2 linked regions of the Rattus norvegicus genome follow. The protein of the gene in region 2 interacts with the protein of the main gene of each other region in a biochemical or structural test. Links are inferred from orthologs where the notes say so. Each region holds a gene or a part of one and is shown on either strand. Other genes may lie near its edges.

Region 1 (3,749 bases), on a different chromosome or scaffold from region 2:
TTTCGGACTGGTGTGGCTTGGTGGAGCTCTGTCACAAACACAAAGGGTCCGTGACTGGGATGGGGGTGGGGACTAAACATCCAGGCGCCAAAGAATTCTCTTACGTCCGGAGCCGTGAATACACAGAACACTATGAGTGGCTTCCTTTTGCCTTCGTGTGTATATTCATTGTAACAATGATGAGAGGGCGGAAAGACAGGTAGGGAAGATGATGAGATCCTCAGATGGCCGCGAAGGGGCTGGTGCCCACTGAGAGCTCAGTTTCAGTCAGTGTGGCTCGCAGTGGGAAGAGGGACTGCGGCAGCAGGCAGAGGCGGAAGGCTCCAAGTGGGGCCACACTCAACTTTTCCCGTCCAAAGCTGTAACTACGGGTCCCGCTGGACTCGGGCTAGAAGAGGCGGAGTTGCAGCTGACAGGAGCGCGGGACTGTTGACAGCGGGTGGGGGCGCGGCTGGAATCCAGAGGGCGCTCCCAAGGAGGAGCTGAGAGTGACAGTGGGAGTGGCTTAGGGAGGGGCGGGACCTTAGGAGTCGGGCTCCAAGACAGAAGGGGTGGCGGAAGACCAAGGCAGTTTCCACGGGAGACAGCGACCTCGGTCGCGGGAGGCGGAGTCCAACTTCTGACGACCGCTGGCCGAGCAATCGCCTGAGGGAGGTGGAGCCTCGCAAGGCCGGAAGGAGGAGCCTCTCATGATAGGGCGTGGCTTCTCGTGACAGAGGCGTGGCTCCCTCCTGACAGGGGGCGTGACTCTTCCTGACAGAGGGCGGGGCGGCGCACACCTCCCGCAGCGCAGGGTTCTAGAGGAGCGGCCTGGGTCGCATCCCAGAGGAGCGGCGAAGTCCTCGAGTGGGGCGCCCATCTCGCTCCGCCTCGGTTGGCTCCTCCTCGCAGCCCTTGTAGGCTTAGGGACCGGGAGTCTCTCTCGCACCCTAGCCTGGCGTCTTGGAGCTCCTGCCGGGCTGCAGAGCTCCGTGGGCCCCCCGCGCGAGGGCCCTCCGAGTGGTTCCGGGGTTAGGGTTCACAGGTCAGAGTTGACTCCCTGAAAAGTGCAGTCGCTCTGAAATGCAAGATGGCGGCGGCGAGGCGCTGAGGCGAGGCGGCCCCTGCAGGTAGCTGCGCGAGCCGGCTGGGTATTGGGCCTCGCGGTTGCGGGGCTGCGGGTGGAACCCGAGCTAGAGCTCGTGGCGAGTGGGGAAGTCTAGAGGCGCGGGCCCTGGCGCGGCACGGGACGGGCAGCAGCGGGGCAGAGACACCCCCACCCCCTGACCCAGCCCACGGCGCTGGGGCACGCAGCATCCGACCCCGAGGGACCGGGCCTGCCCCGCGGCGGGGCGGACAGAGTCTCAGCTCCCGGGTTCTCTCGAGGGTGTGAAAGCGAGGACGGAGCTCTGGGCGGGGGGGCTTGGAGGGAAAGCCCCAGTGCCTTGGTTGGGAGAGCACTGAGTAACTTGGGGGTGTTGAGGGGATGGGGTCTCCCTGAGGGGAGGACGTCTCTGGGCCAGCAGACCTTAACTACCGGGCGGGTCCTGGGGGAGATCTCCAGCGTTGGGCCTCCGGAGGCGTGGGGCCACCTCGTGGGGACGCGGCGCAGCCCCTCTGAAGAGTCAGCAAAGGATCTCCTGCTGGACTGTAGTCGCTGGCTTTGGGGTCAAAGCAATGGGAACATCAACAGGGAAGACTCAGAGTTGCATCTCTAAGAAGTATAATGCGAAGTATATTTTGAGGAAGACCAGGATTTTAGGGGAGAAGTTAATTAAAGAAGGTGGAAACACACTTGTCTCTTTCTGCAGAGGTACAGGAGCGTGAGTGCAGAGACTTGGGAGAGCGATGGACCAGAGCAATCTCCAAGCCTTGGGGCTTCAAGGGAATTGGCTAGGAAGAGGAAATAAAAAGGACTGGGGTCTGATGGCAGGGAAGCCGAGCCCTGACAGAAGCGCTTTCCTTGTGTATTTACACTGAAGTTCCAAGAGAGGGACTTAGAATTCTTTGTTTCGGTGCTCCAAAGGTACCAGTAAGAAACAAACCAAACCGAAGAATAAGATTCTGTTTGCTCTCCTTAGCTTAGGGATTAAGGTTCTGGGAAAAGCAATTGGAAACTGAATGTGGAGAAGAAGCGTAGATAAGGTAGGAATTGCTTACAGTACTTTTTTGTCATCAACCCTTCTCTAAAAGACAAAACCAAAACAAACCGAGAAGAGATAATATTTAGGAGGAAATTATAAGAGAGGCCGATTGAGAATTTGTGACGTATTTAGGGTGGGATTCCATGTAACTCGAAGAAGCAGTTCTCTTTGAGGTTAATATGATGCCAAATGAAAATCCGGAGGAACCACTCCTCCCCCAGGAAAAGCCTGTGTTGCGGGGTACACGAGTACACCTTTTTCTTTGTGGTGCTGCTGGTCATTGTATTTCAGAAGTCTTTGTCCTAACACTTTAATTTGTATGCAGTGGTAATTACCTGTTTCTTTTTAAACTGCCCTGAAAAGGTCATTATTTCATACTGGTAATGGGGATTAGTAAAAGTTTGTCCTAACAAGGCTACTGGCACTAGATTATTTCTAAAGAAGCAATTCTGATTCCAGATTCTAAGTGAAGGAAAAGCTGAGTGCTGTCAAGGACGGTAGTTTGGTAACAAGGCATATGAAGAAAAGGACAGTCATGAATATTTTCTTTACTTAGTTTCTCCATCCTCCAAGCATTTTAAAAGTATACAGACTAATTTTGTAAATTAGTAAATTTAGCAAAGTAAAATGCATAATCTTAGATTTTGTTTTGAATTGGCATTTCAAAACATAGTCTAGGCTGTCCTTGAAGTCATGGCAATCCTCTTGCCTCTTCCTTGTCAGTGCTGGGCTTACAAGCATGTACCACCATCTCAATCTTAGATACTAATTTTTTTACATTTATTATTTATTTGTGTTTATATGCAGTTATGTGCACATCCTACTGTATGCATGTGGAAGTTAGAGGATAACTTTCAGGAGTTGCTTCTCCACCCACTATGTAGGTTCTGGATATCAGACTCAGGTTGTCAGGCTTGGTGGTAAATGCTTTTACCGACCAAGTCACCTTACTGGCCCTTAGGCATTTTTTAAAATATAGAATTTACAGTATTTTATCAATGAATTTTTTTTGTAGAACTATCTCTTGATATATTTTATTTGACAGCTTAGATTAAAATGAGAGAGAGAGAGAGAGAGAAAAAACAAGAAAGAACCCTAATGACTTCAGTAACATATGGTCTGAGCCATTCTTATATTCTCAAAAGAGCTTAATGTTTTTGGTAGAAATGTTTTAAAGATACAGGTCGAGTATAACAAGCTTGTGGCTCAGCATTTGGAAGACTTCTTTGAATATGTGCTGTTCCTTGCTTTCCCCACAGTGCATACAGCTCTAGTGTTATACTCAGATCTGAACACATTAGTCTGGCACACCAGAGAGGCATCCATAGATGCCAGATGCTTTGAAAATATGCTAAGGCTGAAAACATAAATGTGTCTGTGTGGAGGATGCTCATCGGTAGCTTCATCTCCTGCAAGCCAAGCTTGCTAGGCTTGAGTGTAGGACATGAAAGATGTCACCATGGTTTCACCTTTCATTTTTTTTTCTTTTTAGGGAGAAAAATGTTTATTTATGAATTTCACTTTTCAAAATCAGATCATAATTTTATGAACTCGTCCTTTAGGATGGATACTCAATGTTTGATTTGGATGGACTTCTATCTGCTCTGAACTTAACTGAGAAAACAC
Region 2 (3,649 bases):
TACTTAGCAGAGCAAGGTGAAGCAGTAGAAGACACTTGCTTTCTCCCATGGTGTTTGTCAGCTTATCCAGGAGGGTATACAGGAGCCAGGTGGAAGGGACTAACCGTTTTCCCTTCTTTCTGTTCCGTGTACCTGTTCTTTGTTTTTTGTTTTGTTTGTTTTTGTTTTATGTTTTGTTTTCTTAAAGTTACAGTCCCTGTTTCAGGCATGATCACCATCCCAGCAGCCAGTTTGGCAGGGGCACAGATCGTTCAGACAGGAGCCAATACCAACACAACCAGTAGTGGACAAGGGACTGTCACTGTGACACTGCCAGTGGCAGGGAATGTGGTCAACTCAGGAGGAATGGTCATGGTAAGGAGTGTCCCCACACTGGAGGTTTGGGTGGGCCCCTCCTGTCTGAGCTGGTGTTGTCTCTTGTGAAGTTTCCTATGCTAACTTTGGGGTTGAAGCTAGCTCCATCCTTATGGCACTAGCAGTGTCTACGTCCACAGGAAGCATAATTCATTCCGATGCCTTCCAGGTACCAGACTAGTCTAGACTCTGGAAAGACAGCAGGATGGGTACGAATGGGCAATTTCATTTAAACTTTTCATGCCGGTAGTAAGGTCTGCTCTCTTGTCCATGCAGATGGTACCAGGGGCTGGCTCTGTGCCTGCTATCCAAAGAATCCCTTTACCTGGGGCAGAGATGCTGGAAGAAGAGCCCCTGTACGTGAACGCCAAACAGTATCACCGCATCCTTAAGAGGAGACAAGCGAGGGCCAAGCTAGAGGCAGAAGGGAAGATCCCAAAGGAAAGAAGGGTGCGTATGGCATGGGGAGTGCTAGGCAGGACGCTGCACAGTTGTGCATCAAGGTTCACTGTAGGACCAGTGACAAAGCAAGGGGCTTTTCCCTTTCTATAGCAAAGAAGTCCAGAGAAAGCTTATCCTCAGGACTTCCTCTTGTCTTAGAGCTTCAGTGCTCATGTGTTGGCTGTGGTTCGAAGTGGCAGTTGGTCTGCAGCCAAGGGAATAAGAAGGTGGCCTTCTCATTTTAAAGGATTTGCCTGCATCCGATGACCCAATCTAACATACCTATAGATTGCATAAAAATGGGGTCTCCTCCTATTCTGCCATTTGTGCGACCAAACCTGAGTCAGTCACTGAAGCCTATCATTCCGTTTTCCTCGTTCCCTGGACTCGGGTTGCACTGTGAGGATCCTTTAACTGTAGACTCTGCGGTAGGTTACTGCCAGCTCGCTAACAGTTGAGAATCTTATGCTCTTCCCTAGAAATACCTCCATGAGTCTCGGCACCGACACGCCATGGCACGGAAGCGTGGGGAAGGGGGCCGCTTCTTCTCTCCAAAAGAAAAGGACAGTCCTCACATGCAGGTAAGGAGATTGAATACTTCCTTTCTCTGGTGCCTACCTTCTCTCTCAGCAAAGACTGCCCGCCCTCCCCTTGAGGAAGAAACATACTCTCTATGCATGCGGTCTCTGGTGCTTGGCTTCCTTTCTTTTTAGGAACACTGAAAGTTTCAACCCAGGCTACTTTTACTCTTGGTTTCTCAGGTCTTTGTTTTTTAAGGAAAAGTTTTACTTTTGTTTATTTATTTATTAGTAGTCGGAAACAGTGTTGTGTGTCAGTTCTTGTGTCAAGCATTGTAGTAAACTTTTATTTGTTGTTGTTCAACCAACTGCAACCTCAGGCCCATGGAATAGAAGGACATCACCATTTTTTACAGTTGAATATGAGTTCTTGAGACCTTAAGTAACTTGCACAGCTGAATCAGCCCCGGAAGTGCAGTCCAGTCATCCCACTTACTCTGGAAGCTGAGGCCATGCCTAGGCTAGAGATGAATTCAAGACGAGCTAATTTAGTGGGACTTGTTCTCATAAAGGACTAGTGGTGTAGCTAGCTCACTAGTGTAGAGTATTTAACTGACATATGAGTTCATGGGTTCGAATCCTGCTTCCTCCACAAACAGACCCATCAACTGAATTCAGACCCAGGCAGTAGAACCTCACTGGCTATCTCTTATGGTTCTGAGTCTGTGTATCCGAACTGGAGTGCTTGTTCATTAGACTGTACCTAACAAGTGACTTGTCACCACCCAGTCATTGCAGTTTACATGGTTCAAATTCTGAAGTTCTTTTAGTTTTGCCTCTTGAAACATGATTTGAATCTGTTTATTGTACCCTCCTAGCTGATGGCAGCCTGGCCTAGTCCTCTTTCTCTGGTTTAGATGAATAGATCTACCCACTCTCGTGCACTCTTGCCCTCGCTTTATGTTTCCCACATCTCAGGGTGGTATTCGTGGTATCACACCAGTCTTAGCCTGCCTTTGCTCTCTCACTCCTCGTATATAAGTCAACCATGGGCCGGTAAGCGCATGTCCGCATCTAAATTCGCTTTCTCGCCGTGTGTCTGTTTATCCTGCCAGGTCCTTTGTCGTTACAGTTTCTAGTCTATCATGTTCTTGTCTCCATCATTTCCGTGACTATCTCTTCTTCTCTCTTACTAGCCTAGGCTGTCCTCAAATTTGTAGTCCTCCTGCTCCAGTTTCCCACGTGGTGGGGTTCCAGGACCAGACCTCCACAGACTATTCTGTCCTCCTTACTTTTAGGCCTGGCTTAGATCTGAAAGGTTTTAGCCTGCTCTCATCTGTAGTAGAATTCTTCTTTTTTTTTTTTTTTTTTTTTTTTTTTTTTAATCTATTAACTTGAGTATTTCTTATTGACATTTCGATTGTTATTCCCCTTCCCAGTTTCCGGGCCAACATCCCCCTAGCCCTTCCCCCACCCCTCCTATATGGGCTTCCCCTTCCCATCCTCCCCCCATTACCACCCTCCCCCCAACAATTTTCACTGGGGGTTCAGTCTTGGCAGGACCAAGGGCTTCCCCTTCCACTGGTGCTCTTACTAGGCTATTCATTGCTATCTATGAGGTTGGAGCCCACGGTCAGTCCATGTATAGTCTTTGGGTAGTGGCTTCGTCCCTGGAAGCTCTGGTTGGTTGGCATTGTTGTTCATATGGGGTCTCGAGCCCCTTCAAGCTCTTCCAGTCCTTTCTCTGATTACTTCAATGGGGGTCCCGTTCTCAGTTCAGTGGTTTGCTGCTGGCATTCGCCTCTGTATTTGCTGTATTCTGGCTGTGTCTCTCAGGAGAGATCTACATCCGGCTCCTGTCAGTCTGCACTTCTTTGCTTCATCCATCTTGTCTAATTGGGTGGCTGTATATGTATGGGCCACATGTGGGGCAGGCTCTGAATGGGTGTTCCTTCTGCCTCTGTTCTAAACTTTGCCTCCCTATTCCCTGCCAAGGGTATTCTTGTTCTCCTTTTAAAGAAGGAGTGAAGCATCCTCATTTTGGTCATTCTTCTTGAGTTTCATGTGTTCTGTTCTGTGCATCTAGGGTAATTCAAGCATTTGGGCTAATATCCACTTATCAATGAGTGCATACCATGTATGTTTTTCTGTGATTGGGTTACCTCACTCAGGATGATATTTTCCAGTTCCATCCATTTGCCTATGAATTTCATAAAGTCATTGTTTTTGATAGCTGAGTAATATTTCATTGTGTAGATGTACCACATTTTCTGTATCCATTCCTCTGTTGAAGGGCATCTGGGTTCTTTCCAGCTTCTGGCTATTATAAATAAGGC

Evidence for each region. The genes of interacting proteins can lie anywhere in the genome.
Region 1: the proteins of Nfya (region 2) and Zhx1 form a complex in vitro, tested with the Homo sapiens proteins (2 studies listed by BioGRID). The link is inferred for Rattus norvegicus from reciprocal best matches to the Homo sapiens genes NFYA and ZHX1.

The regions. Positions count from the first base shown.
Region 1 is NC_086025.1:91,497,775-91,501,523, reverse strand, and holds the start of Zhx1 (zinc fingers and homeoboxes protein 1), read left to right. Parts: upstream 1-1,055; 5' UTR 1,056-1,109; intron 1,110-3,749. UniProt on the Homo sapiens protein: Acts as a transcriptional repressor. Increases DNMT3B-mediated repressive transcriptional activity when DNMT3B is tethered to DNA. May link molecule between DNMT3B and other co-repressor proteins.
Region 2 is NC_086027.1:20,101,984-20,105,632, forward strand, and holds part of Nfya (nuclear transcription factor Y subunit alpha), read left to right. Parts: intron 1-187; coding exon 188-354; intron 355-630; coding exon 631-804; intron 805-1,274; coding exon 1,275-1,376; intron 1,377-3,649. UniProt on the Homo sapiens protein: Component of the sequence-specific heterotrimeric transcription factor (NF-Y) which specifically recognizes a 5'-CCAAT-3' box motif found in the promoters of its target genes.